Linked DNA regions of Schizosaccharomyces pombe. Changing the gene in region 2 together with the main gene of any one other region gives a genetic interaction. Each region holds a gene or a part of one and is shown on either strand. Other genes may lie near its edges.

What was found.
Region 1: mutations in ysa1 (region 2) and sap14 together harm fitness less than expected from each alone (positive genetic interaction), as found in Schizosaccharomyces pombe (one large-scale study listed by BioGRID).

The regions. Positions count from the first base shown.
Region 1 is NC_003423.3:2,049,278-2,052,866, reverse strand, and holds sap14 (Pre-mRNA branch site p14-like protein), read left to right. Parts: upstream 1-2,098; 5' UTR 2,099-2,171; coding exon 2,172-2,415; exon of another isoform or gene 2,416-2,508; coding exon 2,509-2,609; 3' UTR 2,610-2,870; downstream 2,871-3,589.
Region 2 is NC_003423.3:987,382-990,826, reverse strand, and holds ysa1 (subfamily NudF ADP-ribose diphosphatase Ysa1), read right to left. Parts: upstream 1,338-3,445; 5' UTR 1,270-1,337; coding exon 652-1,269; 3' UTR 501-651; downstream 1-500. Other genes in the region: Swr1 complex histone chaperone module subunit Swc2, read left to right, coding at 1-410; protein Nbr1, read left to right, coding at 2,990-3,445.

The DNA.
Region 1 (3,589 bases), 1.1 Mb from region 2:
CTAAATTCCTTTCCTTGTTAGTATATGCGTATAAAACGCGGAGAATCTAAGTGCGAGTAAAAAAAAATTCCAGATAATTGTTTGTTTCCGACAAGTTGAAAAAGACGGCGAAGCAAACCTATTTGTTCACTTATACAAATATATTAAAAAATAATTAAAATCTTTAATTTGTTAACTCGGTAAAATCGTTAAATTATCGCTAAATAAATTTATCGACCTTTATCAAATTTTCTTCATTCAATTTACGAGTTCTCAACCACCGTTTCGTTATAAATATTTGCGTATTCAACGTTAAAAACCGTAATTATCCTTCTTGCCTTTCCGGCCCAGTGGAAGTTCCAATGACGCCGCGGAAGGGCTGCACACCTCAGTAGCGAATATGGGGAAAGAGCAAATTCATGCTTGCCACGATGACTACCTGGATGCTTGATGTAGGTGACGTGTTACTTAAGATGAAAATGTAAATACAAGAGAAGAAATGGGTCAAGAAGGCGATTAATGGATGAAAAGAGAAATTATTCATAGAAAAATTTTTCCTTAAATATGCGCTTTTATTAATCTTTCGTTTAGGTTTTTTTCTCTCGTAAATTAATTCAGATATAGGTATTTAATCAACATTGCCAATTTCAACAAGTTTTAGGGGTTACGTGCAATAGTTTTATTGTTCTATTGTTTTTTAATTCTTCTCTCAATCCTAACTCTTGAAATTTTGTCGTACAAGACATTTTTCGCATTTCGTCAAGTTAAATTTTATGTTAAACTAGAGTTATTTGCGAATTAGGCTAATGAGCAGAAACCACTTGAATATACAAAATTTTATTTATTTATTTATTTATTTATTTTTTTTAAAAAAAGAGTAAATGGTAATTAATCTACTAGAAGCGTAAAAAGAATTGTTCAATACTTCAAAAAGAAAAATATGTATATCATATATCAAACCAGATTAGCAATCAATGCCAATAGCTTTATTCATTGAAAAAATAAAAAAAATAAAGAACGGTTATAGATGAGTCAATTAATTTCGTACTTTAACGTTAGTTGGTTTATTTCGTTTTTGTACAACATTATTTACTTTTTTAAATACTTAGTTCCTGCTTATCATAATGAATATAGCTAGCTTCATTAGTTAAAATTATTAGTATAGTTTTCGAAATTGTAAACGCTACTATAGTTTCTTTTTTCTGTAATTTCCTAAATTGCTTCAAAACAGCATTTGCAATGCAGCACATTCTCAATTAAGAGCAGTTGTAAGCAAAGAGCAATGAGAAATCTTTCAAATTAGATAAAATGAAGTACAGTAAGATCCACATATTCAACAAAGCTATCCTTTCCCTTTAGTGTCTCTGTTGCTATCACTTATATACGAAAGCATGGCATTGGAAGCGTAAAATGAATCATTAATTTTGCAGATGTAGTTTTCTGGGATCAGGAAATAAAAAATTTAAGAAATTTCAAAAGAACTTGAGAAGAAATTGATGAACTAGTTGGTCTGTAGGCAAAAGATCAATGATACCAAATTGTTTCCTTGATAAAAGTCCCATTGCCAAACAAGAGTATAAGTTAAAAGAAAGTAAAGAAATAAGGAAAAATATAAATTGATGATACAACTATACTATCAAACTATTCTTTGCAATTGTCAGTTTTAAAGTTGAAACCTATTTCCTGTAGGATAGACAAACGAGGAAGCAAAAAATACCAATAAAAATGTTTATGATTTTCAACTAGTTATGTATAATTTGAAAATCACTTTAAATTGACTCTCTATTGAAATCACCGCCATGTCAGTTTCAACTCTGATCAAAGATCTCATGAACTAAGGATTGCATTTGACATTTGGAGTTACCAGGTAAAAGAAGAGGAAAATTTTGGTAAAAGGTTGAACCGTTTTGTCTACGATCTGTTGGTCCATTCGATTTCCCAGCATATACCTCTTCTTGTCCAAACCACGAAACGTAACCTTTAATATTCATGTCTCAATCTTTTCTACTATAATTAAACTCACGTATAGGATTGACTATACAACATCAATCTCCAAGCTGTGATAACGAGTATTTTCCATCTGATCCCAACCAACCTTTTAGGAATATTTATCCTTTCCAAAGCAAACCAAATCATTTCTTTTCGAAATTTGATTTTTTTAACAAAAAGTGTTAAGATCGTAAAAATAACAAATGCCTCCATCTACAGTTAATCAAGAAGTCAATTCTATCCTATTCATCAAGAACTTGTCTTTTAAAATTACAGCAGAAGAGATGTACGATCTTTTTGGTAGGTATGGTCCTGTACGACAAATAAGGCTGGGGAATACGGTTCAAACAAGAGGTACTGCATTTGTGGTTTATGAAAACGTTCAAGACGCTCGTCGAGCTTGCGAAAAGCTTTCTGGCTACAACTTCATGGATAGATACTTGGTTGGTACGTTATCTTAGGGAATGTATTAGCTACTATTAATTTTAATTTCTCCTTTCTAACGGCTTTTTAATATCTTCTTGTTAACTTTTTTTTTAGTGCATTATTATAACCCTGAAAGAGCTAAGGTTGATGGTCAAGATTTGGCAGCAAGGTATGCCGCCTTGGAACAAGTTAAGCAAAAATACGGTGTTCAGTGAACGTTTACTATTTATTTACCAAAAAAAAACAAACAAATTAGGAGTCTGATATTGACTCCATTAACGTGTAATAGATTTCCTCTTTCTATAAATTCTGTTGAAGAGAACATACAGCAGAAAAATGAATCGGCTCATATTAAACAATCGTTTACTAGTGTTTCGAACCTAGGTATAAAAAAGGTACTATAAGGACTTGAATTTTATTATATTTCGCTTAAAGCTTTTTAGTAATAATAATGTAATGCATTGATCTATAATATAACAACGTCTACATGTAGTATTAAGATTTGAATCCCTAATAAAACGTATCCAAATTTGCCCAACCGTATTTCCCAATTAATAATTTTATCTGGCACAAACTTCAAATCATAATGAGCTAGTTTCCAAAGTCCAACCCTTCCAGCTTCATTACCAACACATAACTCACCACCCTTACCAAAAGCTAGGCATGTAACTCTGCCTAAAGGCGTAGCGCTGGTGGGCCAATTACGGAACACACTAAAGCTGGGAACATGAACGAGTCGTAGAGTATCCTTCTTTCCTCGAGATGCGATAGCTAAAACTTGACTATCTTGAGAAAAGCTCATACTATTTATGCTGAAAGTAATATTATCCAATGTAGTGACAGGTTTTGGTGCAGCGTCCGCATTGGATGTCTGGAGGTCATATATATTAACAATACCACTCTTGCTACCAATTGCCAAATACTTATTAGATGGGTCCAAACAAAAATGAGTGGTAGATACACCATCTTGAACTTGCCAACGACGAACGACTGAACGTTGCTCAACATTAAAATGCCATACCTCCGCACCATAACTAAGCACCAACATTTCCGACCCGTCAGAAGTGAACAAAACGTCGGAAAGTACACCTTCAATTTTAAAGCTTGTAGCAAACTGACCAGTAAGAGCATGCAGTAAATTTATATGGCCAGATCTTCCTTCCAAAGCAATGTACTTCCCAGTTGGATCTACGTG
Region 2 (3,445 bases):
AGCAGCGTTTCGAGGAGGCTGCCAAAACTGAAGCTCAAAACCTTAGCTCCTTAAGAAACTATGTTCATTTGGAAGAACAAAGACGACTACGACTTAAACGGAATGCTGCTAAGCATCGCCAGTTACGTGAGCCAATTTTAAAATTCATTAGCAAAACTATTAGCACTGAAGATGGAAGGGAGGCTTCGAATTACTATGTTGCTCCGTTGGAACACCCTCTTTGTCATAGTGCTCCTCCACTTCAAATGCCTCAACATCGAGCAGTTGAGTGCGTTATTACAGGGAAGCCAGCTATTTACCTAGATCCAGTAACACAACTTCCCATTTCAAATGTGCAAGCATTTCAGCAAGTTCGTGAAGTTTACAACCAACGTTATTCATGGAGCGCAATGTTAAATCTTTTTCATTAGGCATGTATGGTAATGGTGAACTTAATAACTGGTATTTCTTCTTTTCTTTTGATTACTTTTCAGTTATGTACGCAATGAACTACGAATTATGGGGAACACGGTAACGGGAATTATTGGATAGACATATATATTATTTTTAATAAAGTTTGACTAAAACAAAGGAAAGTTATAGCATAAAAAGTCCATTAGCAACATTTAATAGTAAACGGTCGTAATTCAGTGAATAGCAAAAGGTGCATAGCTAAGACGACAAGTATTTAAGACCAGCATGTAATCCTAGTGCAAATGTGGAGAGACGAACATCAATGGCAAATCCCTTCTTCTCTAAAGAAAATAATTCCTCTTGTAAAGAAGAAAGCTTGATTGGAAAGTTCTCAATGTATTCGCCATCGTCAAGTTGTTGTTGAGGATTTTGGTTTTCAGGCTTCGACATGTCAATGTCAGCCAGTATAATCTTAAGATTAGCATTCGTAAGACCCGGATCATTGTACATGACAGTGGTGGAGTCCATAACAGTACCAACGTAGCCAGTCTCTTCACGAAGCTCTCGAATCGCAGCATCTTCACAAGACTCCTTAGAATCAACTAAACCTGCTGGAATTTCAATACAAAACTTGCCAATAGGAGGACGAAATTGCTTTTGGCACAACACATGAGGACTTCCGTCGATAGGAACAATGGCTAAGATGGCTACGGCATCCACATTGGCTTCTGAACGTGTCGTACGTTCAGCCATTTCCCAAAACCTGATTTTTCCTTTTTCGTCTTGCCAACGGATTTTCTTTAAGGATGTCCACTTGGCATCCTGATTCTCAAGGTTGGACACTTCCAAAACTTTAGGTTTTTGATCTTGGCTCATTTTATCAATACAGGTGCTCAAACCTTTGACAGTGTATGAAGGGTGTTGGAATGAAGTTGCTGATATTTGAAAAGAGAAGGTGGAAATAGCGATGTGAGAATATGAGCTAATCAATTTCGGAGGATGCTGGTGTCTACCAACGTTAAGTAAATATCGGGTTAGAAATGAAGTTGCATTTATACCTAATGTTCTTGTACTTTTAATAATATGCTGGAAAAAATTTCGGTGCATGAGTGACTTAAAATCCAACTGAAATATTGCTTACTTTTTTCCCGTTAATGCGTAAACGTGCGATTAGTATGACAATGTAAGTATGATGTTAATTTGTTTTGACGTATATTTACAAATTTCATTAATGTAAATATTAACAATCAGCAAAAAACCAAAATTATTATTTGAGCAAAATCATAACGCGGAGTATACCATTAATTATTAACTTAGCTATAAACTGGTCGTTTATCACCTTCTCTAGTGTCTTTTCATTTGCAATTGATTTTACAAACGGATCATCAAAAGATACCGTGACCGGTTTTAGCCAATATAATGGAGTTTTTCCTACCCTTTTCTATTATTGTAGTAAAAGATTTTACGCTGTAAGAGAAATTGCATTTATTTACGTTTTCAGTTCATAATCGCTTATTGATATTAGAATAGCGTCAACTTATGATTTAAGAATATATAATATTAATACTTTATCGACTCACATCTCATTTAAATTACATTTATGCCATAACCCATATCTAGTTTAATGTCTAAGCCGATTTCTAAGTACATTTTAGGGCTTAAGTTAAGTAGTTTCCAATTTAACTAAATCAATTTCTTTTTCAAGTTTGCTACATCAACAAAATTTTTCATATATTCATTTTTAGGGCCATGCGTTGAAGTACCAACCTCTTGTAGATAAATTCGCTAAGTTACTGTTTATGCTGTGCACGCTTCTAAACGCTACCACTTTTTAGCGACGCTTAACTTATCTATTATCAGTACGATATGCTCATCCCCCATATACGTGTGATAAGCTTACACCTCGACCTCGTTCATTTACATTACCATCAACTTCTACTAGCGAATTTGTCCTGCTCACTTCACCCGTTGAATACATCCCATTTAGAATTAATAGCTTGATTTCATAACCAATTAGGAACCCGTCATTATAGTTGCAATTCCAACGCTCCTTACATTTCGTTTGCACTGTATCTCTACACATCCGCTTCAATTATTTGTTTTGTCTTTATTTCCTGTTCCGTCTATAGGTAAGATAATTTACTTGCACAAAGTCTTAAGTTCAATGTTTGTACAACAAATTACAAAAAGGATTGAAGGACTAAAGTGGTTGATGGAACTTTAATAATAACATCTTCGATAAATATTTACGAGAACGTAAAAATCCTTGTCTTGATAAAGATTGTTTTTTCTATTGCCTTTACTCTGAAATTGCTAGCACTGTTGCTCACTTCGGCGTCACATATTTCCTCAATTTCAAAATTCATATGAACTATTAAATTTTACTTTGCAACTAATTTCATTAGTTAATATCGTTACTAATTTTGCTTTAGCTTATTTCGAAAGAGCTTTTTACCTACAATTAAGACCTTCTCTTACCTAAGAACTCGAGTTACTTCTTGACTGCTTACGCGATTTTTTTCTTTTTTTTGCTTTCTTTAACGCTCTCTTTTATCATTAAATTTTATTTTATTTTATTCACGTTTTTGATCCCGAAATGCTTTGCAATCGTACATGTCCCTCTTCTGATTGTGGGATTCTTTGCAACCATAGTGTTCCTTCCTTCCCTCCTTTTCATTCCTCAGTCGCTAATATCCACTTCACTAAGGAGAATAATTTAAAGTCAAACATTTTTGAGCACAATAATAATTCGCCTACTTTAAGGTCTTCTTCTGTTGCTTGTAACACTTGCCTCAAGATAATTCGGAATGACTCATTTCATTGCACAAAGTGTTTCGATTTCGATGTTTGTAGAGACTGCTATGCGAAACAGGCATTCCTCCATCCTTGCCCAAAACCCCATTTCGTACTTGTTCGCTCTTCAATCCCTTCAGTTGCTTCCTTAACCTGCAGCGTAAATTCTATGTCAGTTTCTCCCCAATCTAATTTTATGTACGCCATTTGTGACCATTGTGAGCAACCTATACATAATGTGCGTTACAAGTGTAGTGTT